2 linked regions of the Macaca mulatta genome follow. The protein of the gene in region 1 purifies or fractionates together with the protein of each later gene. This does not show direct contact. Links are inferred from orthologs where the notes say so. Each region holds a gene or a part of one and is shown in the gene's direction. Other genes may lie near its edges.

What was found.
Region 2: the proteins of ZNF687 (region 1) and ZMYND8 purify together in Homo sapiens (affinity purification with mass spectrometry; 4 studies listed by BioGRID and IntAct, with this or other methods). This does not show direct contact. The link is inferred for Macaca mulatta from reciprocal best matches to the Homo sapiens genes ZNF687 and ZMYND8.

Annotation. Positions count from the first base shown.
Region 1 is NC_133406.1:115,793,307-115,808,389, reverse strand, and holds the start of ZNF687 (zinc finger protein 687), read left to right. Parts: upstream 1-7,093; 5' UTR 7,094-7,647; coding exon 7,648-7,657; exon of another isoform or gene 7,658-7,988; intron 7,989-10,780; exon of another isoform or gene 10,781-11,652; intron 11,653-11,841; coding exon 11,842-13,970; intron 13,971-14,091; coding exon 14,092-14,270; intron 14,271-14,643; coding exon 14,644-14,820; intron 14,821-14,930; coding exon 14,931-15,083. UniProt on the Homo sapiens protein: May be involved in transcriptional regulation.
Region 2 is NC_133415.1:100,033,330-100,048,312, reverse strand, and holds part of ZMYND8 (MYND-type zinc finger-containing chromatin reader ZMYND8), read left to right. Parts: intron 1-4,292; coding exon 4,293-4,673; intron 4,674-6,982; coding exon 6,983-7,173; intron 7,174-13,758; coding exon 13,759-13,839; intron 13,840-14,983. UniProt on the Homo sapiens protein: Chromatin reader that recognizes dual histone modifications such as histone H3.1 dimethylated at 'Lys-36' and histone H4 acetylated at 'Lys-16' (H3.1K36me2-H4K16ac) and histone H3 methylated at 'Lys-4' and histone H4 acetylated at 'Lys-14' (H3K4me1-H3K14ac).

The DNA of each region.
Region 1 (15,083 bases):
GACTGTGCCATTGCACTCCAACCTGGGTGAGAGCGAGACTAATAATAAGAAACAGTCACAGCTCTCCTTGCTCGATTACTTTCTACAGGAGCATGGCAGTTACACCACTGAGGCATTCCTCAGTGCCCAGCGAAATTTTGTGCAAAGTTGTGCTGGGTACTGCTTGGTCTGCTACCTGCTGCAAGTCAAGGACAGGTAGGTGACTTCTGCTGCTCATCCTAACATTTCTCCAGGGTTCTCTCCATCCCTTCGTGTGTAGTTCTCAATTACTTATTACTGCCCTCCATGGCAAAGATGTGAAAAATGAAACAATATATTTTAAGCAAAGACAGAAGGTTTGTGAAGACTAATAATAATAATAATAACAATCGGCCGGATGCGGTGGCTCACGCCTGTAATCCCAGCACTTTGGGAGGCCGAGGCAGGCGGATCACGAGGTCAGGAGATCAAGACCATCCTGGCTAACACGGTGAAACCCCGTCTCTACTAAAAATACAAAAAATTAGCTGGGTGTGGTGGTGGCGCCTGTAGTCCCAGCTACTCGGGAGGCTGAGGCAGGAGAATGGCGTGAGCCTGGGAGGCGGAGCTTGCAGTGAGCCGAGATCGCGCCACTGCACTCCAGCCTGGGCGACAGAGCGAGACTCCGTCTCAAAAAAAAAAAAAAAAAAAATAATAATAATAACAATCAAGAATGGGGATAGGAGTAGTATAGGACAGAGTAGGGTGAGACAGAAGACGGCTGCAACAAGGAAAGGTGGTGGGTACTATTAACAGAAGGTGCGCACCATTAATCTGGTGGTCTATGTGTGCATCTCCAAAGATTCCTCCTACTAGCCGGCACAGTGCCTCACATCTGCACCCCCAGCTACTTGGGAGGCTGAGGTGGGTGGATCACTTGAGCCCAGGAGGTTGAGGCTGCAGTGAGCCGTGATTGCCCCACTGCACTCCAGCCTGGGTGACAGAGCAAGACCTTGTTTAAAAAAAAAAAAAAATGTGTGTGAGTGTGTGTGTGTGTGTGTGTGTGTGTGTATATATATATTCCTCTTACCCTTTCCCAGGCAATGGTTACCACAATTCTGCTACTATCACCATTGATTTACTTTGCCTGTTCTTGAACTTTATTTTTTATTTTTGTTTTATTTTTTGAGACGGAATCTTGCTCTGTTGCCCAGGCTGGAGTGCAGTGGCACGATCTCAGCTCACTGCAACCTCTGCCACCCAGGTTCAAGCGATTCTCCTGCCTCAGCCTCCCAAGTAGCTGCGATTACAGGTGCACACCACCACGCCTGGCTAATTTTTGTGTTGTTAGTAGAGATGGGGCTTCAGCATCTTGGCCAGGCTAGTCTTGAACTCCTGACCTTGTGATCCACCTGTCTCAGCCTCCCAAAGTGCTGGGATTACAGGTATGAGCCACCACGCCTGGCTTGAACTTTATATAAATGGAATCATACTATATATGTATAGTGTATATATATACACACACACACACATATATAAATGGAATCATACTCTCTATATATATGAAGTTCAAGAATTTTTTTTTTTTTGAGTCGGAGTGTCACTCTTGTTGCCCAGGCTGGAGTGCAATGGCACAATCTCGGCTCACCACAACCTCCGCCTCCCAGGTTCAAGTGATTCTCCTACCTCAGCCTCCCGAGTAGCTGGGATTACAGGCATGCACCACTATGCCTGGCTAATTTTTGTATTTTTAGTAGAGACAGAGTTTCTTCATGTTGGTCAGGCTAGTCTCGAACTCCTGACCTCAGGTGATTCGCCTGCCTCGGCCTCCCAAAGTGCTGGGATTACAGGTGTGAGCCACTGCACCCGGCCCATTCCTGTTGATTTAAATATCCAGGTAAATGAGTCTTCCAGGCCACTGGCCTCTCAGTCTCTTGATCTCCCCTTCTAGTCCATTCCTCTCTCCTGAATGCGTATTTCCTACCTTTTTTCTCCTCAAACTCCTAGTTTCTTCATCATCCTCACTCTTAGAGGGTGATCTTGATTTTTTATTCTTATAGAGTTTGACAACACATGCTCTTTCTTATACCACTGGACAACAGAAACAACAAAGAGATATCCCACAGCTCCCCAGCTCCCTCGACCCATGCCCGCTCACTCTGCCTTCTCTCCCAATTATTATTCGGGAACTGTTCCTGCCGCTGTGTAAGGCAATGCCTCTGTTTGTGAACTTGACCCTCTCGCTCACCTTCTGAAGAACATGGTTCCAGGAACTTTCCTTATCGCTCTGCTACTTCAGTTTCTCCTGTCTACAGGATCCTCCCCACCCGTGTACTAACATACAACTTCTTCATCTTCAAATAAATAGTCCTTTCCTTGGGTCAGTAGAACCTGATGAGAAAAAGAGATAACTATTAAAAGAAACAGTCCTTTCTTGGTCGCTTTTTTTCCTCTAGTTACCATCTTTTTTCTCCTTCCTTCCTTTGAAAGAGTTTTATAGTGACTTTTCTTTTTTCCTCCTCCATTCTTTTGAACCCATTCCATGCAGGCTTTTGTCCCCACCAGTCCATCAAATCTCTCCTTATCATGATCACCGGTGACCTCCATTTTGCTTAAATCCATTGGTCAATTCTCAGGTTTCATCCTATTTGATATTTTAGTGGCATCTATCATTCTCTCTTCCTCTTTCTTGAGATACTTTTTAAATTTAGCTTGAAGGTTACAACATTCTCCTGGTTCCCTCCTTCCTCTTTGCTGTTCTTCTCATCTCCTTGACCTTTTAACTTTGGAGTTTCCCGTGCCTCAGTCCTCCCTTGGTGATCTCATCCATTCTGACCTGGGTTTTAAACACTATCTATAAGCTGATGACACCTACATTTGTATCTCCACTTGGATGTGTAATACCTCAACATGACTAAAACTGAGCTACCGACCTAACCCCTAAAACCTGCTTCTCCTGTAGTCTTCTCAGCTCAAGAAATGGGGCAATATCATGCTTCTACTTCCTCAGCCTCCAAGCTCTGGAGTCTTTTCTTTCTCTCACACCGCACTTTCAACCCTTTTAAAACGTAAGTCAGGCCACCACGTCATCTGTCTCCTTTTGATGGCTTCCTATCCCACTCTGAGAAAATGCCAAAGAACTTCCCATAGCTTCCAAAGCATCCCATGACCCAACTCGCTCCTCCCACCCACTCTGGAACACACTCCCCACCTGAGGACCTTGTACTTGTTCTTTCTTCCTGGAATGTTCTTGTCCCAGATAGCTGCATGGCTCACTCCCTCATCTCCTTCAGACCTTTACTTAACCACCATCTTCTTGGAAAGGCCTTCATTGTCCACCTGATCTAAAATTGCAACCCTCCCACACTTACTGTCATCCTTCCCTGCTTTTTTTTTTTTTTTTTTTTTTGACGGAGTCTTGCTCTGCGCCCAGGCTGTAGTGCAGTGGCGCAATCTCGGTTCACTGCAACTTCTGCCACCCGGGTTCAAGCGATTCTCTTGCCTCAGCCTCCCAAGTAGCTGGGACTATAGGTGTGTGCCACCATGCCCAGCTAATTTTTTGTATTTTTAGTACAGACAGGGTTTCACCGTGTTAGCCAGGATGGTCTCGATCTCCTGACCTCGTGATTCACCCGCCTCGGCCTCCCAAAGTGCTGGGATTACAGGTGTGAGCCACCGCACCTAGCCGCCTGCTTTGTTTTTTGATTGTTTTTGTTTTTAAATTAACACTTTATTTTATTTTTTTTTTTGAGACGGAGTCTCGCTCTGCCGCGCAGGCTGGAGTGCAGTGGCCGGATCTCAGCTCACTGCAAGCTCCGCCTCCCGGGTTCACGCCATTCTCCTGCCTCAGCCTCCCGAGTACCTGGGACTACAGGCGCCCGCCACTGCGCCCGGCTAGTTTTTTGTATTTTTTAGTAGAGACGGGGTTTCACCGTGTTAGCCAGGATGGTCTCCATCTCCTGACCTCGTGATCCGCCTGTCTCGGCCTCCCAAAGTGCTGGGATTACAGGCTTGAGCCACCGCGTCCGGCCAACACTTTATTTTTTACAGCATTTTTAGGTTTACAGAAAAACTGAGCACAAAATGGGAGTTCCCACATATCCTCTCTCCAGTTTCCCGTTGTTACTGAGACAAGGTCTTGGTCTTTTGCCCAGGCTGGAGTGCAGCGGTGTGACTATACCTCACTGCAACTTTGACCTCCAGGGCTCAGGTGATTCTCCCTCCTCAGCCTCCCAAATAGCTGGGACCACAGGCGTGCACCACCATGCCACACTTAAAAAAAGTTTTTTTGTAGAGATGGGGTCTCTTCATGTTGTTCAGGTTACTCTATTATTCATTAATATCTTGCATTAGTGTGGTACATTTGTTACAATTGATGAACCAATATGGATTCTTTATTATTAAGAGACAGGGTCTCACTTTGTTGCCCAGGCTGGAGTGCGGCAGCAGGATCATAGCTCACTGCAGCCTCAAACTGCTGGGCTCAAGGAACTCTCCCGCTTCAGCCTCTTGAGTACTTGGGACTACAGGTGTGCGCCACTGTACTCCGCTAATTTTTCTAATTTTTTTGTTGATCCTCCCGCTTTGGCCTCCCAAAGTTCAGGGATTACATGTGTGAGCCACCACGCTCACAGGGTTCAGTCTTTGTGTTGTACATTCCATGGCTTTTGACAAATGAATAATGCCATGTATCCACTATTACAGTATCATACAGAATAGTTTCAGTGTCCTTAGAGTCCCCTGTGCTCCATTTATTCATCTCCCTCCCTCCACCTGAACCCTCGGCAACCAACCACTGATCTTTTTACTCTCTCTAGTTTTGCCTTTTCTAGAATGTCACATAGTTGGAATCATAAGGCATGCAGCCTTTTCAGATTGGCTTCTTCATTTATTCACGTGCACTGCAGATTCCTCTGTCTTTGCATGGCTTGATAGCTCTATTTTATTCCTTGGCAGCTATCAGTTCTAATATTTATTGTTTGTCTTCTCTTTAAGAATGTGTGTTTCATGACAGGGCTTCTTGTCTGCTTTGTTAACTGCTGCACCCCCAGTACCTGGAATAGTACCTCCTTCCATGGTTGTGCTAAGGATTGCATGAGTTATTAATGATATACATAACGTTTTTATTTGTGTGTGTGTGTGTGTGTGTGTGTTTTGAGACAGGGTCTTGCTCTGTCTCCCAGGCTGGAGTGCAGTGGTGCGATCCCAGCTCACTGCAGCTTTGACTTCCTAGGCTCAAGCGATCCTTCCATCCCAGCCTCCCCAGGAGCTGGGATCACAGTCGCCTGCCAACACCCCTGGCTAATTTTTTTTTCCCAAATATTTTGTAGAGGCAGAGTCCTGCTATGTTGCACAGGCTGGTCTCGAACTCCAGGGCTCAAGCGAGCTACCCACCTAGACTTCTCAAAGTGCTGGGATTACAGGTGTGAGTCCCCCATAATATTATGTGTATATGAGTAGTAACTGTTATTCCGTATAGGAAGACCAGAAGAGGAGGTGGAAACGGAATGCCGGTTGCTTACATAGGGACCCTTAAATAGTCCTCAGAGAAGGAAGAGCATCTGAGCTGGAGCGACTGGGAGCAAATGCAGGCGGACCGAGCACACAGGATGCAAGTCTCCGGGAGAAAGGGCACACTAATCCCAACTGCCAATTACTTTACAAAGCACGTTTACATTCTAAAATCATTTAATCCTCACAAAAATAATATTGTCAGGTGGTATTATAATCCCCGTTTTACCCATGAGAAAACAGGATCTGGGAGGTTGAGCGACTTGCCCATTGCCATCATAGGGCAAGTGGTGGCTCCAGGATTCCCATCCATAAGTTCTGACTCATACTTCAAAGGAGCTCGGAAACTGCCGGGGCTCGATGGGGAGTCCTGGTTCCAGTGTCCTGGGACTCCTGGGCAGCGTAACAAAACCACTTTCAAAAACCCTGCCGGGCGCGGTGGGTCACACCTGTAATCCCAGCACTTTGGGAGGCTGAGGCGGGTGGATCATTTGAGGTCAGAAGTTCGAGACCAGCCTGGCCAATATGGTGAAACCCCGTCTCTACTAAAAATACAAAAATGGCCGGCCACGGTGGCTCACACCTGTAATCCCAGCACTTTGGGGGGCCGAGGAGGGCAGAGCACGAGGTCAGGAGATCGAGACCATCCTGGCTAACATGGTGAAACCCCGTCTCTACTAAAAATACAAAAAATTAGCCGAGCGTAGTGGCCGGCGCCTGTAGTCCCAGCTACTCGGGAGGCTGAGGCAGGAGAATGGCGTGAACGCGGGAGGCGCAGCTTGCAGTGAGCCGAGATCGCACCACTGCACTCCAGCTTGGGTGACAGGGCCGAGACTCCGTCTCAAAAAAAAAAAAAAAAAAAGCCGGGCGGGTAGTGTTGCACACCTGTAATCCCAGCTAGTCGGGAGGCTGAGGCTGGAGAATCGCTTGAGCCTGGGAGGTGGAGGTTGCAGTGAGCCGAGGTCCCGCCACTGCACTCCAGTCTGGACTACAGAATGAGGGCCTGTTTAAAAAAAAAAAAACTTCGCCAAGGTAGGGAGCAGTGGCTCACGTCTGAAGGATCTCTTGAGACCAGCCTGGGCAACATGGCAAAACCCTGTCTCTACAAAAAATTAAACTAGCCGGGCGTGTTGGCTGTCTCTTGTAGTCCCAGCTACTCAGGAGGCTGAGGGGGGAGGATCACTGGGGCCTGGGAGGTTGAGGCTGCAGTCAGCCGTGATCGCACTACTGTGCTCCCACCCGGGCAACAGAGTGAGACTGCCTCAAAAAAACTAATTAAAAAAAAAAAACACCATGCAGTTAACGAGCGGCTGCGTGCGCGAGGTGGCACGCTGGGCTTGCAGACGAATTCTGCCAGTGCTATTAGAACATTTAAGAGATTCATTTTCCGAGCGACTCCTCCCTTTCCCCCGCCTGCAGGGGGCGTGGCAACAAAGCGCGGGAAAACTCGACCTTGACCCCACCCCCTACTCCTTGCTGGGGGCGGGGAAAAGGGGAGCTCTTAAATGGGAAATGGAGCTGGGGGGTACCTCCAGCCCATACTTAGGAAGCCTATCAGTTGCCCCTTTAAGGCCTCTTTGGAAATGGCCCAGGCCACGCCAGCACTCCTAACGTCCCCTCCCCCGCTTCCGGTCCGCGAGCACTTCCCAACCTTTAGGTCCCGATTCCTTCCACGTTCGGAATCCCGTACCCCGTCCACGCCCTCCCGCAGAGGGAGGAGCGACGGGTTACGCTGTGGCCCAGGAGCTGGCCCGTGCGAGGATCCCATCCATCAGATTATATGGCGATTTAGACGGTGGGAAGACAGCGAGGAAATGGTCAGCGGATGACGTAATGTTTGGGGTGGCGTCCCATTCTGTGACTTCTGCCCGGCATCAGTGACACGGAATTAGCTTGAAACAGCGCAAAAGGACCTACACTTCCGTCCTGCACTCCGACTCAGTGCGGTTCTGCTCAAAGCGCCCACCACACAGAAGCTGGATTCCTTCGATTCGCGAAAGTGAACTGCAGCTTCAAGCTTCGAGCGGCCAATAGGGAGCGAGGGGCGGAGACGCACCTGGGCGCTCCCCTCTCTAGTAGGAAAGCCGGGAAGCAGGCTGGCTTCTTTCTAAGCGACAGTGGCGGAGGCCAATCGTTTCCGTGACTTGCAGATGGGGCAGACGGACCCTTGCGCAGCCAATGGGGAGAGGTATCTTCAGAGGGCCTCGGCCCCTTGCCCAATGAGCATAAGAGGACTGTGCGGGGCTAGTTCCGAGCGGCAGTACTTAGGACCAACCCAGTGCGGGGCTGGGAGGGGCGCAGGGCTGAGCGAAGGGGGCAAGGGCCAATGGCGAGTGCGAAAGCGGGCAGCCCAGACCCGGAGCGCGGAGGGAGGAGAGGGAGGGGGGAGGCTGAACCGGAGAGAAGCAGGAAGTAGCGGCGGCCGCGGGGAGGGCGGCGGTGGCGGCAGCGGCTGGAGTGGGGTAGAGACCGCCGGGTCTCGGCCCGCACCAGGAGCGGAACAAGTAAGCGTGCCTGGGGTAAATACCCGCCCTTGGCTCCGCCCACTTGGGGGGGCGGGTAAATACCCCCGCCCCTCCCCCACTTGGTCAACTACCCCCTTCTCCGCGCCGCCCCCTGGGGCGGCTTCTAGGAGGGCCCAGACACCGCCTCCATCCATTGGGGCGGATGGGCAAAACTCCCGGCCTGTTGAAAGCACAGCCCCTAGCCGGGTAAACCCCCAGGAGGGTCGAGAACCCCAAGTCCTGGCGCCCCCAGCTCGAGAGGCACCCGAAGTGCGGCCCGGAGATTGGAGGCTGCGGGATGTCGCGACCTAAAATGGTGTCCGTTCCCGGGGATGGGGGCGGGGGGACTGGGCCAGGCCGGAGCGGAGCCTGCACCCCGACTGGGCGCGGGTCAGCGTCCGGGCCCGGGCAAGAATCAGGCTTGCGCCCCTGGCCCCATGTGCACCCTCCGATCAGTCTCCAGTCTCTAGCGAGCCTCCGGGAGTCCGCGGCGGAAGGAGGTTCCGCTGCGCCCGGAGGCGAGGGGACGAGGTCCGAGTTGGAACGGACCCCGGCTAGAGAGCTGAGAGTCGCGCAGAGACCGCCCCTTCTCTCCTCCCCTCTTTCCCAGCTCCCCACCCCATCCTGTGTAGTCCTGGGTCCCCAGGTGCTGCGCAGCAGGTACCAAAGGGCCTGGCCTGACTGAGGCCCGGCCTTCGCTTCGCACGCCGGTGCGAGTGAGAGAAGCGCCGCGCGCCTCAGTTTCCCTTGTAGTTTCTCTTGTGTACACCCCGCCCCCTCCTCGCAACCCAGGACTTGTTCCCCGCGCCGGCCCTCGGCAGATGGCAGGGACTTAATTCCGCCCGCTGCCCAGCTTGGCCGCAACCTAATCGCCGCCAGCCCCTCGCCCTCCTCTGCGCTGCAGGCCTTGGGCCCGGGCAAAGGGCAGTGAAGCCCCCACTCGACCTGGGTCTGTTCAGCCTTTTCCTGTTCAGCCTCTTTGGCTTTTGGGGAAGCACAGAGGGAAAGGGGGCAGGGGAGATAGGAGCCCTAGAGACAGGGCTCAGCAGTCGCAGGAAGGCCTGATCTTCCTTGGCCTTGAGCTCGGCGACTTGCTTGGTCGACTGCTCTGAGTGGGTGGCCATCGGATGACCTCTAAGTCACTGGAACTCCCAAGAGGGAGGTGGCTGGCGGCGGGGGGTGTGCGGGTGAGTTCACAGGTGTTTTCTAGTCTTTGCTGGTCTTCCCTGTACCAGTCCACTTCTGAGTACCTGAATGGAAGGTAGCTCAGGCCTCTGATCAGGAGGGAGCCAGGCTTAGGAGCCAGGCCCATAGAGACAAGGGGTTTTGTTTAAACCCAGAGTCTGCAGAATTAAATAGGGTGGGAGTGAGGGAAGGACTCCCCCTTTGTCTGGTTGGTATCCTTTGCCCCCACCCCACCTTGGTCCCAGGAATTCCAGCTGCCACATGCTGCGGCTGTCTCTAGTTACAGTATGAAGGCTGGAGAGAAGTGGGAGAACTGGCTTCGAGAAATGGCCTGCAACCTGGGCATGGAATGGATAGGGATAGATTCTTTAGTTGCTTCTTCGTAGATACAGAAACAGTCATGGGGAGGCACTGGCAGGGGACAGACATGGGTCTCCCACAAACTCTGAGCTGGCCTGCATGTTCGATTAGTACCACATAATTCTTGTGGGATTTTAAATTTTATTTTTTGCACTTGGCTAGGTTGAGGTTAGGTGAAACTTCCTGGGCTACTGTTGCCACAGGAAAATGGAAAGGGTGAGGAGTTTAAGTTAGGGAATGGAATGGGGTGAGGAGCTCGGAGCAGAAATGATAGGTGAGGGGTGAAGGAGCCTGGCTTTTCCCCACTGTGGCAGCTGTGCTGGATAAGTGTGTACCCTGGGAGTTTTAGCCTCAAGAGAGCAAGCTGCGGAGGGGTGGTGAAGGAGGGGCTGGCTAGGGGAGGGCCAGGCACTCTGGGGAAGGTAGTGAGCGAGCAGCAGGTGTTTGTGACAGGAGAGGCCTAGGCTGGGGCCCTTGTGACCAGGCTGCCATCACCATTTTCCCCTCTGTCTCTTCTCTTTGTCTCTTTCTGTTCCTGTGTCTTATTTTTTCCATCTTGGTCTCTTGGGTAATTTCCTTGAGTCCTTTTCTCCCTGCTGACCAAGCTAGATCTCCAGGTGCCAGTGATGGCCCCAGGTGCCCTAGACTTGATCCTGCATGACCCCTGACTCTTGCCTCCGACCCCAGCCCTAGAGTTCCAGGGGTTATTCCTTTCCAGCTCTTCCTTGACCTGACATGTCCTTGCTTGGTTCATCTGGAATAGTGAATCGTATTCTCGGTGTGATTCTTACATTAGCAATTTCGTATTGTGCTCAGAATAACCCTATGATATATAGATCACTTGTGCTCTCTGTCTTGTCTTTTCTTTTTCTTCTTTTTTTTTTTGAGACAGGGTCTCACTCTGTCACCCAGGCTGGAGTGCGTGGCGTGATCATGGCCCATCACAGCCTCGACCTCCTGGGCTCAGGGGATCCTCCCATGTCAGCTGGGAGGCATAGCTGGGAATACAGGCATGTGCCATCATGCCTGGGGAGTTTCACCATGTTGCCCAGGGTGGTCTTGAACTCCTGGGCCCAAGTGATTGACCTCCCAAAGTGCTGGGATTACAGATGTGAGCCACCACACCCGGCCATTTGTGTCCTCTTTCAAACAGCAAAAGTAAGGCACTGAAGAAACTTGCTTGTACTGCAGGCCCCTGATAAAGCTGAACGAGGATCATTTCTTAAGTCTTGGCTTACGGCCTTGCCCCTTTGTACACATAGCCTTTCAGATCTCTGTGGACCCCAGAAGATCCATGAAGAATATGAATTGATTCCATGTGGACATGAATGAGCCCTTAAACCTAGAGCATCATATACATCATCCTCCTTAATGATAGTATCGATTATTTGGTTCTGTGCTGGGCACAGGAGGGGATGAGCTGGTTTCCACCAGGATGCTCACTGAGCTCCCCTGTTCCTGTATTTCTTCTTCTTTTTTTGTGTGTTTTTTCCTGAGATGGAGTCTTGCTCTGTCACCCAGGCTGGAGTACAGTGGCACAATCTCGGCTCACTGCAAGCTCCGCTTCCCGAGTTCAAGCAATTCTTTTGCCTCAGCCTCCCGAGTAGCTGGGACTATAGGTGAGTGCTGCCACGCCCAGCTACTTTTTGTATTTTTAGTAGCCCCGGGGTTTCACCATCTTGGCCAGGATGGTCTTGATCTCCTGACCTCGTGATCCGCCCGCCTCTGCCTCCCAAAGTGCTGGGATTACAGGTGTCAGCCACTGTGCCTGGCCCCCTGTATTTCTTTTTGAGACAGGGTCTTACTCTGTCCAGGTTGGAGTGCAGTGGCATGATCTTGGCTCACTGCAACCTCAACCTCATGGGTTCAAGTGATTCTTCTGCCTCAGCCTCCTGAGTAGTTGCTATTACAGGCATGCGCCACCACACCTGTCTAGTTTTTTGTATTTTTAGTAGAGACAGGGTTTCACTATGTTGGCCAGGCTGGTCTCAAACTCCTGACCTCAAGTGATCCACCTGCCTCAGTCTCCCAAAACACTGGGACTACAAGCATGAGCCACCGCACCTGGCCCCTTCCCTGTATTTCTGAGAACTCTCTTTTCTCCTGCTTTCTCTGGATTTTGGAGCCTGCCAGGGTATGGACACTAACCTTCTGATTTTAGGGTTTGGCAAACCTAGCAGCTCTGTAGGATTCATGCTGTGGTGGAGGTGTACCTAAGTTGGAGTGCATATGGGTTCTGAGAGAGGATAAATATGGAGATGCTGAGGAAAGAGCTCCAGGATCTCCAGACATCTCAGTTTCTCCTTATTCCTGTTTTCATCAGGTCTGGGACCTGCCGATATGGGGGACATGAAGACCCCTGATTTTGATGACCTCCTTGCTGCCTTTGACATCCCTGACATTGATGCAAATGAAGCCATCCATTCTGGGCCAGAAGAAAATGAGGGGCCAGGAGGCCCAGGGAAGCCAGAACCAGGTGTGGGAAGTGAATCTCGAGACACAGCAGCAGCCTCAGCTGGGGATGGCCCTGGAGTTCCAGCCCAGGCCTCTGACCATGGCCTGCCACCGTCAGACATTTCTGTAGTTAGTGTCATTGTCAAGAACACTGTGTGTCCTGAGCAGTCTGAGGCCCTGGCTGGAGGCTCAGCAGGGGATGGGACCCGGGCTGCTGGGGTAACTAAGGAAGGGCCTGTGGGGCCTCATCGAATGCAGAATGGTTTTGGGGGTCCTGAACCTTCCCTCCCAGAAACCCCCCACTCTCCTGCTCCTCCCAGTGGGGGCACCTGGAAAGAAAAAGGCATGGAAGGCAAAACTCCCTTGGACCTGTTTGCTCATTTTGGCCCTGAGCCAGGGGACCACCCGGATCCCCTGCCTCCCTCTGCACCCTCTCCCCCTCAGGAGGGGGCTATGACCCCACCTCCTTTCCCCTCTTCCTTTGAGCTGGCCCAGGAGAATGGCCCAGGCGTGCAGCCACCTGTTTCTTCCCCACCGTTGGGGGCCTTGAAGCAGGAGAGCTGCAGCCCCCATCAACCCCAGGGCCTAGCCGCACAAGGCTCAGGCTCCAGCCCTGAGGCCACGGACATCCCTGCCAGTGCCTCGCCTCCCCGAGTTGCTGGGGTGCCCTTCTTCAAGCAGTCTCCAGGGCACCAGAGCCCTCTTGCCTCCCCCAAACTGCCCGTCTGTCAGCCCTTGAAAGAAGAAGAAGATGAGGGGCCAGTGGACAAGTCTTCCCCAGGAAGTCCCCAGAGTCCCTCTAGTGGGGCTGAGGCTGCAGATGAGGACAGCAATGACTCCCCTGCCTCCAGCTCCTCTAGGCCTCTTAAGGTGCGGATCAAGACCATTAAAACATCCTGCGGGAATATCACAAGGACTGTAACTCAGGTCCCTTCAGATCCTGATCCACCTGCCCCCTTGGCTGAGGGGGCGTTCTTGGCTGAAGCTAGCCTCTTGAAGCTGTCCCCTGCAACACCTACTTCTGAGGGTCCAAAGGTGGTGAGCGTACAGTTGGGTGATGGTACAAGGCTGAAAGGCACTGTGCTGCCTGTGGCCACCATCCAGAATGCCAGTACTGCCATGCTGATGGCAGCCAGTGTGGCCCGCAAGGCTGTGGTGCTGCCTGGGGGGACTGCCACCAGCCCTAAGATGATTGCTAAGAATGTGCTAGGCCTGGTGCCCCAAGCCCTGCCTAAGGCTGAGGGGCGGGCAGGGCTGGGGACTGGGGGACAGAAGGTGAATGGTGCCTCAGTGGTGATGGTGCAGCCTTCAAAGACAACTACTGGGCCGAGTACAGGGGGCGGCACAGTGATCTCACGGACCCAGTCCAGCCTGGTGGAGGCCTTCAACAAGATCCTCAACAGCAAGAACCTGCTCCCTGCCTATAGGCCAAACCTGAGCCCACCAGCTGAGGCTGGGCTGGCCCTGCCTCCCACCGGCTACCGCTGCCTGGAGTGTGGGGATGCCTTCTCGTTGGAGAAGAGCCTGGCACGGCACTATGACCGCCGGAGCATGCGCATCGAGGTCACCTGCAACCACTGCGCCCGCCGCCTGGTCTTCTTCAACAAGTGCAGCCTGCTCCTGCATGCACGTGAACACAAGGACAAGGGGCTCGTTATGCAGTGCTCACATTTGGTCATGAGGCCCGTAGCCCTTGACCAGATGGTGGGGCAGCCGGACATCACACCCCTGCTGCCTGTAGCTGTCCCACCTATCTCTGGACCTCTGGTCTTGCCTGCCTTGGGCAAGGGTGAGGGGGCCATCACCTCCTCTGCCATTACTACAGTTGCTGCTGAGGCCCCTGTCCTGCCACTCTCCACTGAGCCGCCTGCTGCCCCTGCCACTTCTGCTTACACGTGCTTTCGCTGCCTGGAGTGCAAGGAGCAGTGCCGGGACAAGGCTGGCATGGCAGCTCACTTCCAGCAGCTCGGCCCCCCTGCCCCTGGGGCCACCAGCAATGTGAGTCACCTTTCACAGCCCTTCTGTGGGGACAGGATCTAGGAAGGCGTTGGGGGCTTGGTTAGAAGTAATAGAGACAGGACACTCTTCACCGACTTTCCTTGTTTAATCCACTCGACAGGTGTGCCCAACCTGTCCCATGATGCTCCCCAATCGCTGCAGCTTCAGCGCCCACCAGCGCATGCATAAGAATCGACCCCCCCACGTCTGTCCTGAGTGTGGGGGCAACTTCTTGCAAGCCAATTTTCAGACCCATCTCCGGGAGGCCTGTCTGCACGTCTCTCGCCGTGTGGGATACAGGTGCCTTGGACCCTTCCTCCATAGAACTGTAGGGTTTCGTGTGTCCTAGCCTCAGCCTCAGATGGCCTTTCAAGATCCCCGCTGTATCCCTCAGCCCTGTTTTGGCAAACAACCCTGAGATAGTACGTCCTGCCTTCCCGTCGTCCCCCATGGAGATGGGGGGAAGCAGGGCCACCTCTGGAGCTCCAGCTCTCCCTCGGCAGCCTCCCTTGGGGAATGGCCTCTACACCTCTCTCATTTCTCCACCCTGCTCATGCTCCACTACTGATTTCCTTCTTGTAGTCTACCCAGTCCCAGAGAATAAATGTGTGGTCCCAGGTTGGGCATGGAGATGCCTCCCACCTCACCACAGGGCCTCCTGCTTCCTCCCTAGGTGCCCCAGCTGTTCAGTGGTGTTTGGGGGTGTGAACTCCATCAAGTCCCACATCCAGACGTCGCACTGCGAGGTTTTCCACAAGTGCCCCATCTGCCCCATGGCCTTCAAGTCTGGGCCCAGCGCCCATGCCCACCTCTACTCCCAGCATCCCAGCTTCCAAACTCAGCAGGCCAAGTGAGGCCCGGGGGAGGGCCGGGCCGGGCCAGGGAGGCAGGGCTGGTGGGGTGTAGGAGGGGAGGGGCTGCACCCCTCCCTGCCTGATGTCTGCATTGTCCTCACCTCAGGCTGATCTACAAGTGCGCCATGTGTGACACAGTCTTCACTCACAAACCCCTCCTCTCCTCACACTTCGACCAGCACTTGCTGCCCCAGCGTGTCAGTGTCTTTAAGTGCCCGTCTTGTCCTCTGCTTTTTGCCCAAAAAAGGACCATGCTGGA
Region 2 (14,983 bases), on another chromosome or scaffold:
TAGTGGACAGTGGACAATTAAGCTGAAGATGATTCTAAAACACAGTTCAGTTAGAGCAGCTTCCTAAGGCTTGGGGCAAAACCAATTGATCTTAAATTCAGAGCTGATGGTGGTTTGGGTCTTGAAAAATTTTCATGTCGGGCTCTGCTAGAGAGCATCTTTTCAATGATGTGTTTTCACTTAAGAGTTTAGTAAGTGAAGGGCATTTTGGATTGCGCTGTTGTGACCTCCAGCTCACCTTCCACTAGGGATGCAGCTTATGGGTAGAATATGAATCTTCAGATGGCAAAATAGCTTTTATAGCTAGTAACCTCAGAACAGAAGCAAAGAGAGTACACTGAAAGACTCTGCTGTGCTTTCACTGGCACATTAGTAATTTCCATCCTTCTACAAAGGGGATGCTAATTTTTCTCTTAAAAAGTCGTTGCTTTATAAATGAAAAACAGTGACCAGTGACAGATTCAGGAATAAGTAGGTTAATTTGATAGGGCAGCTTCTCAGGTGCTGACCCTTTAAAAAAATTTGCCCTTTTTTTTTGCTACAGGTGATTGATTATGTACTCCAAATTTCTGGGACAAATGAAATTTCCTATAGCCTCATTTTGTCTCCATAAACCATCAGGATTCCTAGAAATTTAGATATTTTGGTATCTAAATAACTCCATACAATTTTGAGCCTGGAATCTTATCAGATTGTATACTCCAGTTCTTTATTTGGCAGAGAGCCAGCTGTGATCACTGCAGAGCAGTAAGCCCTCTGCCCTGCTGGCTGTTTCAGGAGAACAAATCAGGAGAGAGAAAAACGACCATTTTGAGGTTGCCCTTACAGTGGGGAGACAGGCTAGCTAATCAACAATAACAGTATATTTTTTGGTGATGTGGCAGGAAAAAAAGGCATTGAAGGCACTTATGCAGGCTAGAAGCTCTGCTAAGGCACTGCCCCCGTGCCCTCCTCTTAGAAGGGCCCAGTTCAACACCTCATCTGCACCTGGAAGAGGTGGGGACAGTGCCCCATATCTGGCAGGTGGCCCTGGAAGCACCGGAGTTCTTCACTGCAGGAAGCCCTCCTTCTGGACCCACCCTGGGCTCTTGTCGACCAGCTTGGCTGGATTCTCCTCTCTGGGGAAGTAGGAGGGCCAGCAACAAGTGATAACCATCGAGAACTCCCCCTGAAGTCAGAATAGTCAGCTTGTCTCTTCTCCTCCTTGGCTTCTTAAAACCCACAGCTTACTGAATGAAAATCCTTGGAGTAATTAAGCTCATGTCTTTTTCTGGGTAATACTGATCTTAAAAAGACAGACATAGGCCAGGCACAGTGACTCACGCCTGTAATCCCAGCACTTCGGGAGGCTGAGGCAGGCGGATCACGAGGTCAGGAGATCAAGACCATCCTGGCTAACACAGTGAAACCCCTTCTCTACTGAGAATACAAAAAATTAGCCGGGTGTGGTGGCGGGCACCTGTAGTCCCAGCTACTCTGGAGGCTGAGGCAGGAGAGTGGTGTGAACCAGGGAGGCAGAGCTTGCAGTGAGCCGAGATCGCGCCACTGCACTCCAGCCTGGGCAACAGAGTGAGACTCCGTCTCAAAAAAAAAAAAATAAATAAAAAAGACAGACATAATCCTTATTTAAAGGAGTTTGATGTCAGGGAGCATAGTCCAAGATCAGGGGTGCTAGCTTGTACCTGGGTGTGGTGTGTGTTCCCCAGATATCCTCTCTGGAGCACAGGCTCACCTAACTGGGGGCTGAGGCCTGTGCATCCATAACTGAGCCACCTTTACAAATAAGCACCCATGTGGTCATCCCCTCTACCTGCTGCTGAGTGCTTCTGGCTCTAACCTGCCTTCCAGCCCCTCCTCCTTGCCTGCCCTCACTTACCCAAATGCTTTCTGTTCCTACACATATCTTGGCTGATGCTGTTCCCTCTAGATTCTCACTTTCCGCCTGTTGAAATCCTACCCTTTATTCCTTACCAGCCCAGCTCTTCCAAGATGACATACTCCATATGGCAGTATTTTTCAAACTTGAGTCATTCACATTCATTGTCTTTCCCGTTCTCAAGTCCTGCTTGTATAATTTTTGACTTAATATTTTTATTTAAAGAATCTGTGTTTTTTTTTTTTTTGAGATGGAGTCTCGCCCTGTCACCGAGGCTGGAGTGCAATGGGGTGGTTTCGGCTCACTGCAACCTCTGCCTCCTGGGTTCAAGCGATTCTCCTGCCTCAGCCTCCCGAGTAGCTGGGATTATAGGCACACACCACCACACCCGGCTAATTTTTTGTATCTTTAATAGAGATGGGGTATCACCATGTTGGCCAGGCTGGTCTCAAACTCCTGACCTCGTGATCTGCCCGCTTCGGCCTCCCAAAGTGCTGGGATTACAGGTGTGAGCCACTGCACCAGGCCAAGAATCTCATTCTTTAAACATATAATTAAGCACATTTAAAACGGGACACGGTAGCACGTCCCATATAGTCCCAGCTACTCGGGAGGCTGAAGTGGCTCACTTGAGCCCAGCCTGGGTGATACAGCAAAACTCTCTCTCTTTAAAAAATAAAATAAAATAGGCCGGGCATGGTGGCTCACGCCTGTAATTCCAGCACTTTGGGAGGCCGAAGTGGGTGGTCATGAGGTCAGGAGTTCAAGACCAGCCTGGCCAAGATGGTGAAACCCCGTCTCTACTAAAAATAAAAAAAATTAGCTGGGCGCAGCGGCAGGCACCTGTATCCCAGGTACTCAGGAGGCTGAGGCAGGAGAATCGCTTGAACTCAGAGGGCGGAGGTTGCAGTGAGCCAAGATAGTGCCACTGCACTTCAGCCTGGGCAACAGAGTGAGATTCCATCTCAATAAATAAAATAAAATAAACTCTTTATTTATTTTTCATTTATTATTATTTTGAGACAGAGTCTCACCTTGTCACCCAGGCTGGAGTGCAATGGCATGGTCTTGGCTCCCTGCAACCTCCGCGTCCCGGGTTCAAGCAATTCTTCTGCCTCAGCCTCCCGAGTAGCTGGGATTACAGGCATGTGCCATCATACCTGGCTAATTTTTGTATTTTCAGTAGAGACGGGGTTTCACTATGTTGGCCAGGCTGGTCTCGAACTCCTGACCTTGTGATCCACCCACCTCAGCCTCCCAAAGTGTTGGTATTACAGGCATGAGCCACTGGGCCCAGCCTATTAGTGATGTTTTTTGAGAAGGAGTTTCATTCACTCTGCCTCACAGGCTGGAGTGCAGTGGCGTGATCTTGGCTCACTGCAACTTCCGCCTCCCGGGTTCAAGCAGTTCTCCTGCCTCAGTTTCCCAAGTGCACCACCACGTCTGGCTAAGTTTTTTGTATTTTTAGTAGAGACGGGATTTTGCCATGTTGGTCAGGCTAGTCTCAAAATCCTGACCTCAGGTGATCCGCCCGCCTCAGCCTCCCGAAGTGCTGGGATTACAGGCGTGAGCCACCATGCTTGGCCTCAATTTATTTTTTTATTAAAAAAATTCCCCCTGAAAAAACCATCTGCAAGTATAAAACTCATTTTAGACTTGAACACCACCCAATAAGAACAGTAGCGCACAGTATACATAAAAGCTGGTGACAGGAATAAATCCAATCAAAACCAAAGCAATGCTACTCAATCCTAGATCAGTACCATTACGTTGGGGGAAGGTTCTGGCCTTGGGGCAGAATTTATGTTCCTGGTATTGTCATGGCTATCAGTACCGCCTTCAGACTTTGTCCTGGAGGGAATCAGAAGAGATAAAAAGAATGCTTTTCTTTCTGGGTGATTGAGTGTTACTTACTTCTTTGACCATTAGGAGGCCATCTGGTTCTTTGGAGTATTGGTTTCTACCTTCTCTAGCCAAAGAATTTCTGTTCATCTCTCGATTCACTTCCGCTGGGCCTCTCTCAAGGTGCCAACTAGATTTTAACTTTGCGAAAAGGGCGTGAACATAGATTGAATCTGTTCGCCCACTGCGTTGTCCACTAGGTGTAGGGGAGCTTGAGCATAGGAGCCGGGTCTTGTTTGCCTCATTGGCCCCCAGAGGTGTTGACTTGTATCTCAGATGTGAGCCGGCGCTCAGTAAAGGAGGCCGGTGCTCGTGGAGATGGAAGACGCAGCAGAAGTGGCCTCAGCGTTAGGTGAGACTGTACTCCTCCAGCGCGGTGTGCGTGGCACGTCGAATTGGTTCGGCTTTCCTGGCTTTCGTAGGTTTTACCCAGAACTTGCTGGCGTCAAGACCCTGCAGGCGAACCTGAGTGAAATCGCGGTTTTTGTTTGTTTTTTCTTCATGCATTGGCTAGTTGTAGGTAAAGCTCCACCATCCACGACGGCGGGCAGCCAGTCTCCCCCGGAAACGCCGGTGCTCACCCGCTCTTCCGCCCAAACTCCCGCGGCTGGCGCCACAGCTACCACCAGCACGTCCTCCACGGTCACCGTCACGGCCCCGGCCCCCGCCACCACAGGAAGCCCGGTGAAAAAGCAGAGGCCGCTTTTACCGAAGGAGACTGCCCCGGCCGTGCAGCGGGTCGTGTGGAACTCATCAAGTAAGTTTCAAACGTCCTCCCAAAAGTGGCACATGCAGAAGATGCAGCGTCAGCAGCAGCAGCAGCAGCAGCAAAACCAGCAGCAGCAGCCTCAGTCTTCCCAGGGGACGAGATATCAGACCAGACAGGCTGTGAAAGGTACCGAGCCTCCCCTTCTGTTCTCCGTGGCGCCCGCTCCCATTTTGCCACATCGACAGGAGAAAGTCATTGCTCTCTTGTTTTTTTTTTTTTTTTTTTTTTAGTTCTCGTTTGTTTCCTGGCCATTGTATCTTGAAGGCCTTGCACATTTCATTTGGCATTATTTTTAAAAAGTGTTTTGCTACTTGCTTTTTTACTTTCGAAAAGTTTTTTTGTTCATTTTATAAATTATACATGCATATATTCTCCTTAAAAGGGGGGCAGAAAGTTTTACATAAAAGTTTATTGTCCCGTTTACCTTCCATTTCATTCTCTCCCTTCCACAGTGACCAGTATCAACCGTTGTAAAGGCTTTTCTATGCATGTATGCATGTATATGTATATATACATATCTGTATGTATATATGTGCGCGTCATGTATATGATGCCATAAAATTAGTCCTTTTCCCCCCCTTTTTTTTCTTTTTTAAAACGTAAAAATGGTACCATACTTGCTTTTTTTTTTTCCCCCACCCATTAGCATGTTTTGGAGGTCCATCCATGTCAGCACATACAGCCCTGCCTTGTTCTTTCGGACTGCTGCGTAGTATTCCATAGTTTATTTAAAGCATTCCCCTCCTGATGGGTATTTAGGTTGCTTTCAGTTTTTTTTCCACTGTGAGCAGTGCTGCAGTGAATATCTTTGTATAAATTTCCTTGTACACATGAGGGAACCTCTTGGAATTATTTTGGAAAAAGTACAGTGCGAGAAGTTGATAGCGAAGGTTACCTTAGTAACTGGAAATTCGTCACGCACAAAAGATGAGCCAGCCTCGAGAACCACTTGCTGAAGTTGCAGAATCAGAACTCCCACCAGCCCTACAGGAGGCTCCATCTGGAGCTGAAATTAGGCCAAACACAGTGCTGATCTGACTGGTTGATACCAGTTTGTCTGGCTTTTGTGAGCATTGATGTAGATCTCTTTCTATCAGGAAACCTGCATCTAGATCCTCAAAGGCTGGGTTCTTCAACGGAAGCTCATAGTGAGTGCGCCCCTGTGAGTGGGGTTCGTGAGCAGCAGGACGTGAGGTTGAAAGGTGGCCAGGTCTTGAATTGGCCCCCAGTGAAACACTTCAAAGATGGCAAGGGAGTGGGTCCTGAAAAATTGGCCAGGCAAAATTGAGAGTACAGTTGGAGTAATCTTGCTGTTTAAAAAGTTGGTGGGGCAAAGCCAAGTCTAGGATATTTGAGATTGGGATTGCTGCTTCCTGTCTTCTGTCTTCATATCTCGTAAGCAGGAGGCTTCCCCAGGGGAGTTTAATTGCTACCAAGAAGAGGGTTGGGCGCGGTGGCTCATGTCTCTAATCCCAGCACTTTGGGAGGCCAAGACAGGCAGATCACTTGAGGCCAGGAGTTCAAGACCAGCCCGGCCAACATGGTGAAACCCCATCTCTACTAAAATGGAAAAGAAAACATAAAACTAGCTGGGCACATGCCTGTAACTCCAGCTACTCAGGAGGCTGAGGTGTGAGAATCCCTTGAATCTTGGAGGTGGAGGTCGCGGTGAGCTAAGATTGCGCCATTGCATTCCAGTCTGGGCAACAGAGTGAGACTGTCTCAAAAAAAAAAAAAAAAAAAACCAGAGAAACAAACAGACAAAAAAAACCAAAAAAGAGTGCTGCCAAAAAGAGGCTCATTGCTTCAGATAGTCTTACACCAAAGTAGGGCCTAGTTAAAAGGGTAAAGACAGATTTAAATCGGTAATACACTACTGTAATGGGGCAAGAGTCTAACATAAACTGAAATTAACTTTGATTTGTACAGAGGTGACTGGGCATTTTAAAGGGAGAATGAGGGAGTAGGGATGGGAGCAAGTCGTTGAAGTTAAACATCACAGAAGCAAGATGAGGGGTTGGTCTTTGTGAAACCCATCTCGATTTGCTAACGGGCACTTCATGAAGTTGGGCCCCTACTCTCCCATAGAGACTGGGATGCTGAAGTCCTGTCTTCAGGTGTTGGTTGGAAGAAAACTGTCAGTTCTTTTGCCAGCATTGAGTTTTCCCAGGCAGGTGCTTTAAGTGGGGGTTGGGGTCATCCTAGCATGCACTCTTGAGCTCTTAGAAACTGTCAGTGTTTGCTCAAGTCTTTCCAGGCCAAGGTTAGGGCCTAGTCGAGAAACCTGGATAGAGTTTGGTCAAGGGGAGCATCTTTGTCATTTAAAAGTAGAAAAGTTCTCAGGACGTATATTAGGGGCTTTGCTTCTACACCACAGCTCTATGCTGGGACGGGTCCTTCCCACGTGGGATAATCAGGATGCTTTGCCTTCCTAGCTGTCCAGCAGAAGGAGATCACACAGAGCCCGTCCACGGCCACCATCACCCTGGTGACCAGCACACAGTCATCGCCCCTGGTCACCAGCTCGGGGTCCACGAGCACCCTTGTGTCCTCAGTGAACGCTGACCTGCCCATCGCCACCGCCTCAGCCGATGTCGCCGCTGATATTGCCAAGTACACTAGCAAAGTGAGTGGATGGGAGAGCTGCCGCAGAGACGGCAGGCATCTGGCAGGTTGCCAGAACCTTGGCCTTGCAAGGGGAAGCATGAGCGTCTTAACCTCGTAGGCTTTAGGGAGTGTTTAGGAAGGAAGACCCTTTTTATTTTTTAAACAGAATCTCCAAGACCACATTCTTTCATTTGGGTCTAACAGAGAAACATTGGAATGGACTGAATCTTAATCCAAGTGGGCTTAGATTCTAAAGTCAGTTTATGAAGTGCAAATGACATATAATCAGAATTACCTTCGAGAATTCAAGTCACTTATAAAGGCACTGGAACACATGACTGATCCTTCAGTGAACAACTGACCAGGGGTTGGGTTTGCATTTAGAGCTTTGCATGTGGAGCAGAAGTGACAGAGTCTTAAACATGACACTGGCAAGGTGAAAGCCCACACTTTAATTTTTCCAGGAATCAAGATGGATGAGGAGGGGGACCGAGGGGACCCCCTCTCCCTCTTCTCCTGCCCTCTGGGGCACAGTCCCTATTAAGTGGCCTGGTGGGCAGGATTGCCTGTTGTGGGCAAACTCATGGTCACTGTCTCAGCACAGGCCCCTTCTTTTTTTCTCTTAATTTGCCAAGTGCTTTTTTTTTTTTTTTTTTTTTTGAGATGGAGTCTCACTCTGTTGCCCAGGCTGGAGTGCAGTGGCACGATCTTGTCTCACTGCAACCTCCGCCTCCTGGGTTCAAGCAATTCTCCTGCCTCAGCCTCCCAAGTAGCTGGGACTACAGGCATGTGCCACCATGCCTGGCTAATCTTTGTATTTTTAAAGTACAGATGGGGTTTCGCCATATTGACCAGGCTGGTCTCAAACTCCTGACCTCGGGTGATCCACCCACCTCGGCCTCTCAAAGTGCTGGGATTACAAGTGTGAGCCACCACGGCCGGCCTGCCAAGTGCTTTTATGGTCATTGTTGAATTCAGGTAGATACCATCTGCGGTTCTCAGCGTCATGTGAGAGTGCCCTGGACTGATGTACTGTGTACCTTGTCATTAGACCACATTAGTAATAATAACCATCAGAATGTCAGCTCCGCAAAGGCAGGGATTTTGGTCTGTTTTGCTTACTGCCAAGGCCTAGAACAGTGCCTGGCATGCAGTAAGTGCTTAACACATAATTGGGCTTTCTTTTTATTGGCCTCAGTTATTATCAATAACTTAACAATAGCTATTGATTTATAATCTACTGAGATTATTTAGTAAATTACTAAGTAGGTAATAATTTACTCTTTACTGATGAGTAGATTATTAATACTGATGAGTAAACAGTTCTAGTTTTCAGAGAGAATGGATGAAAATAATTGAGGATGGTTGTTTCTAGAATTCTTTCTCTTTTAAAAATGCAAACAGGGTCTCATTTTGTTGCCCAGGCTGGTCTCAAACTCCTGGTCTCAAACTCCTGATCTTCCTGCCTAGGCCTCCCAAAGCATTGGGATTACAGGTGTGAGCCACCACACCCAGCCTATTTCTAAAATTCTTATAGTCTTACTGATAAAGAATAAGCTTTATTATATTGAGTTAAGGGAAGAGGAATCTTTTTAAATTCTCAATGGTGAGAGAAATATATACGAATTTTTTTTTTTACCCAAATGAGTTTTCATTGGTCATGTTTCTTTTTGTTGCTTCTGTGTAGGTGTAATTGTTATCTATTGCTACAGAACAAATTTCCACAAAACTTAGCAACTTTAAACAGCACACACCTTTATTATCCTACAGTGTTTGTGGGTCAGGAATCTGGGCCCGGCTCCACAGGGCTCTCCGCTTCAGGATCTCTTGCAGTTGCAGTCGTGGTGTCTGCAAGGGTTTGGGACTCACACAAAGGCTCAACTGGGATCCACTCTCCAGGTCATTTAGGTGGTGACTGGCAAGATTCACTTCCTTGAGGGCTGGTGGTCTGGGCCACCCTCAGTTCCCTGCCATGTGGGCCTCCCCAGCATGGCAACTTGCTTCATCGAAACCAGCAATGGAGACTGGGCACTATGGCTCACACCTATAATCCCAGCACTTTGGGAGGCCGAGGTGGGTGGATTGCATGAGCTCAGGAGTACAAGACCAGCGTGGGTAACATGGTGAAACCCCGTCTCTACTAAAATACAAAAAATCAGCCTGGCATGATGGTGTGCGCCTATGGTCCCAGCTACTCAGGAGGCTGGTACACAAGACTTGCTTGAACCTGGGAGGTGGAGATTGCAGTGAGCCGAGATTGTGCCACTGCACTCCTGCCTGGGCGACAAAGCGAAACTCTGTCTCAAAAGCCAGCAATGGAGAGAGCCTGCTGGCAAGACAGAAGTCACAGGCTTACTTAGGCCAATCACAGAAGTGACACCCCATTACCTTTGCTGTATTCCATTGATTAGAAGCAAGTTGCTAGGTCAGAGGGAGGGGATTACAGATGGGCACAAAATAGTACTAGGTTGGGATCATCGGCAGCCTTCCCACCACATAAGGTAGCAATATGTCTGCATAGTATTTACTCTGGGCTAGATGCTGTCCTAAGCACTTTTTTATGTTACTTACTCAGTCTTCTTGACAAATTGATGAAGTGTAGGTACTGTTATCACCCCAATTTTATAGATGAGAAAACTGAAGCCCAGTGAAGCTACACAGTGTGTCTAGGGTCACAGACTAGTGAATGGCCAAGCTGGACTTTGAATGATAGCAGCCAGGCCCTAGACAGCGTGCACTTAACCTGGCTTTGAGTTGCTTTGTGCATTTCAAACAAGCCTGCTGATCACAAATGTTCATGCCACAAACTGTTGCCACACGACTTTTATAAGCAACTGCTCTTAGGATTCAGTGTGGCTGTTTGAGCCAGTGGCTGTAACCACAGCACTTTGGAAGGCTCAAGTGGGAGGATCGTTTGAGGCCAGGAGTTTAAGACCAACCTGAGCAAGACATGGAGATCATGTCATGTCTTTACAAATAAAAAAAATTAGCTGGGCATGGTGGCATGTGCCAGTAGTCTCAGCTATTAGGGAGGCTGAGATGGGAGGATTACTTGAGCCCAGAAGTTTGAAGCTGCAGTGAGCTCCGATTGCACCATTGCACTCCAGCCTAGGTGGACAGAGCGGGACTGTGTCTCAAAAAAAAAAAAAAAAAGAAAAATAAAAGGCCTGGTGCAGTGGCTCACGCCTGGAATCCTAGCACTTTGGAAGGCCCAAGCGGGTGGATCACCTAAGGTCAGGAGTTCAAGACTAGCCTGGCCAACATGGTGAAACCCCATCTCTACTAAAAAATACAAAAATTGGCCTGGCGTGGTGGCAGGCACCTATAAACCCAGCTACTCAGGAGGCTGAAGCAGGAGAATTGCTTGAACCCAAGGGGTGGAGGTTGCAGTGAGCCGAGATTGCGCCACTTCACTCCAGCCTGGGCAACAGAGCGAGACTCTGTCTCAAAACAAAACAAAACAAAACACGGGGGAGGTTGTCACGAAAGTGTTCAAGGCCTAACAGTACCAAACTGAGACTTCTTGCTAAAGCGATCTGTAGGATTCTGTAGGATTATTAGAGAATTGAAAGGGGGTAATTTTCTCGTTAGTGATTTAAGTAGGTGTCTGGTTTTGCCTGAATGATCTCTTGTTCTACCTTACGTTGTCCTTACATCACCTTCCTTTGATTTGGTCCCAGCTGTTGCTCATGAATGGGAAAGCTGAGGTCTGCTGAGTGGATCTGATTAGTGGTTTGCAGGAAGGCTGTTTTCTCAGCTCCTGCAACCATTTTAATTGTTACCTTCTGCATCCCCTTTGTTCTTTAAAAAATTGTTAAAAAAAATTTTTTTTTAAGAGATGGCGTCTTACCCGGCTAATTTTGTATTTTTAGTAGAGATGAGGTTTCACCATGTTGGCCGGGCTGATCTTGAACTCCTGACCTCAGGTGATTCACCTGCCTTGGCCTCCCAAAAGTGCTGGGATTATAGGCATGAGCCACCGTGCCTGTCCAGGAATGATTTTTTTGATAGGTGTTTTCTTTGAAGTTAAAAAAAATGAACACAGTGACATTTTTTGGGAGCCGATAAACTTTTCCTGTCTCTGAGGTGACCTGGAGTGGAAGACGCAGTTCTGTGTGTTTTGGCAGAGTGGTGTTCTTTACTGATGTTGAAGTCTTTGCTATATTTGGAAGTTTAGAGTAAAAGGCAGTCCACGAATGCATGATATCTTTGAAATGGAATGTGACCATTGCATTAGCGATGTATTGAATTTCGCCCACTTTCTAAAGTTTTCTTGTAAAGCCATTTAGTTGTAATTTTTAAAATGGACACGGTGGGTGCAACAGAGCAAGGAGGCAAGTGCAGGAGGCTGCAAAGCTGTGGAAAGTGCACAGTGTTTTCGCTGATAGTGGCCTGGTGTGGACTCCACAGCAAGCTGAGCGTGGAAATCTCAACAGAGGTTTTATTCATTTTACTCCATTTTGCGGCGAATTTGGGCCTACTATTTTGGGGCTTGGCAGCAATTACGCAATTGCATACTTGTATGAATATCTTTTTCTTTAAAAATAAGATGAATGGGTATTTCTTTATGAACACCTGCTCCATGGCAGGTAACGAGACACAGTCCTTGCGTGGTTTTTTTCATTTAATCCTCGTGCACACCCTACCGGGGGGCATGCAGTTCCTGTTTTTTTGTGGGGAAACCGAGGCTTAGAGGCCATGGATAGTGAGGCATCAGATACGAGGCTGCTCTTTGTCCCGCCTTCTCCCTGAATTGGGGCATCTAGAAGGCGCTGGAGAGGCTTCATACCAGTCAAGCCGGGCCTGAGACAGAGCCTGATCTCTTGTCCCCTCCTCTTTCTGCTGTGATGGGGGAAGGGTCAGCTGGCAGGTGGGAGGTAGAAGAGAAATTCATCCTACGAACATAGTCAGAAAATCCCTGGGTGCCTGCTTCATGGACCTTAGCTGATGTCACCAACTGGCTGATGCCTTCAAGGGTCAGATAGTTAAAGAAAAAGAATATGGGAAATGAACTGCAAAGACAATGTCTTGACTGAAGGCATTAAAATGACAAACCAGCCATATCTATAAAATGGACTATAAAAAGGAATGAAGTTCCGCTGCCTGCTGCAGCACGGATGCGTGAATCACAGAGGACCTTGAGTTGTGTGATTCCATTTATATGAAATGTGCAGCCTGAGCAAATGTGGAGAGGCAGAAGGCAGATCAGTGGTTGTCAGTGTCTGGGGGAGGGGGGATGGGATACCGGGAAGTGAAGACTAAGGCTGGGGGAAATGGGATTTTCTTTCTTTTTTTTGTTTTTGAGACGGAGTCTCACTCTTTCGCCCAGGCTGCAGTGCAGTGGCCGGATCTCAGCTCACTGCAAGCTCCGCCTCCCGGGTTTACGCCATTCTCCTGCCTCAGCCTCCCGAGTAGCTGGGACTGCAGGCACCCGCCACCTCGCCCGGCTAGTTTTTTGTATTTTTTAGTAGAGACGGGTTTTCACCGTGTTAGCCAGGATGGTCTCTATCTCCTGACCTGGTGATCTGCCCGTCTCGGCCTCCCAAAGTGCTGGGATTACAGGCTTGAGCCACTGCGCCTGGCCTGGAGTGGGATTTTCTTTACGGGATAATGAAAATGTTGTGAAATGATTGTGGTGATAGATACACAACTCTGAGGTACTAAAAGCCATTGAATTGTATACTTTAAATGAATGAATGGTGTAGTATATGCATATACCTCAGTAAAACGGTGCTGGTTTTTTAAGGGGAAATAATGAAAACTAAAACAGTAATCCCTCTCTTGAACCTACCGTGCTGGCCAAATAAAAGACATCTGGGGGTTGGGCACGGTGGCTTCAGCACTTTGGGAGGCCGAGTTGGGTGGATTACTTGAGGGTCAGGTGTTCAAGACCAGCCTGACCAAATGGTGAAACCCCGTCTCTACTAAAAATAAAAAAAAAAAAATCGCTGGGCGTGGTGGTGTGTGCCTGTAATCCCAGCTACTTGGGAGGCTGAGGCGGGAGAATCGCTTGAACCAGGAGGCAGAGGTAGCAGTGAGCCAAAATCGCGCCACTGCACTCCAGCCTGGGCGACAGCGTGAGACTTCCCTTAAAAACAAAAAAACCAAAAACAAACGAAAAAAAAAAACACCACACATCTGGGGGCCAAATTTGGCCTCTCCAGTTTCAGCCAAACTGTGGTATAGAAACTAGCTTTATGTGGGTATGGAAACTAGCTTTATGGTTATGAAGTGGCACCACAATGCAATACATGAAATTTCTTGGAAATTTTTACCCTGTTAATATTGGGGTTTCTTAACCTCAGTGCTGGTGATTTTGGACTCAAAGGTTTTTGTTTTTTGTGCGGGGTCCTTGTGTGCATTTAGCATGGTTTAGGTAGGAAGTTTAGCAGCGTCCCTGCCTCCACCCTCCAGATGCCAGTAGCAGCCCCTTCTCCTCGCTCCTGCACCTGTCACGACAACCAGAAATGCCCAGTGTCTCATGTGGGACAAAATTGCTCTGAGTTGAGAACCTCTGCTTTATACAGATAGATTTTAGGTATTTGTCTCCAGGAAAAGCCTCCAAGAAGTGATCAGCTGAATTGTTTCTGTTTTTATCTTTCAGATGATGGACGCAATAAAAGGAACAATGACAGAAATATACAACGATCTTTCTAAAAACACTACTGGAAGCACAATAGCTGAGGTCAGAGGTGACACATGAATTCCTTATTTGCTAAGAGTGTTTTATGGGCTGCTTTAAAGGTGATACCCTGAAGAAGCTTCTCTGGAAACCCCTCTTGGATCCTGACTTGGTCACTAAGCTGGCTCTACTGATTGTGATTGTCGATGAGGGTATTTTTTCTTTTAACCAGTCAGCTGGGGCTGTGGAGACATGCCCTGCTTTGTGTGATCAATTCATTTCTAATAAAACAGCCAAAACCAGAGCTTCAGTTAACCTACTGGTGAAACTGGACACCAGTTCTTTTTGCTTCATGTAAAACTGGCTCCTGAATCTTCTCTGTAAGTTTGGACTTTTTAATACAAGTGCTTCTTGTTGTTCAATACTTTGTGTACTGGAGTCTCCATAATTATGTAATTGCGTAGAGAAGAAAGTGGTTAAGACATTTCATTGGCTGGGTGTGGTGGCTGTAATCCCAGTGCTTTGGGAAGTTGTGGTAATCCCAGCACTTTGGGAATCCTGAGGATTGCTTGAGGCTAGGAGTTTGAGACCAGCTTGCACAACATAGTGAAACCCATTTCTACAAAAATTAAAAAAAAACAAGCAGGAGATGGTGGTGTGTTCTGTAGGAAGCTGAGGCAGGAGGATTGTCTGAGCCTAGGAGTTTGAGGCTACAGTAAGTTGTGATTGTGCCACTATACTCCAGCCGGGGAGACAGAATGAGACCCTGTCTCTTAAGGAGAAAAAAAAAAAAAATTAAGCTATCCACTTATAAAGTGTCCACCTATAAAAATATACCTCCCTGAACTTCCCCTTTAGGCTAATTCCCTATCAGGGCTTGGAGAGTGGGCCACTTCCCGGTTGTCTGTGGATGGTACAGTGTGGGCCAGATACAAACAGGTTATCAGATGAAATGACAAGTGGCAGGACTTATAGAGGTCATCTAAGGTGATGTTGGAGAACTGTGGGAATCCTTTGCAGAGCTATTGACCTTTTAGGACTTGGCAGCATTAGGCGGGTGCTCAGATGAAGAGGAGAAGATCTTCAGGAAGGCAACCTTGTGGTTCCTTAAACAGAAAACATTGTGAATACAAAGATTTAAGAGAGGCCCCAAGAAAAATCAATGAATCCCCTTAATAGTTTTGCAAATATGACCTTTATGATTATG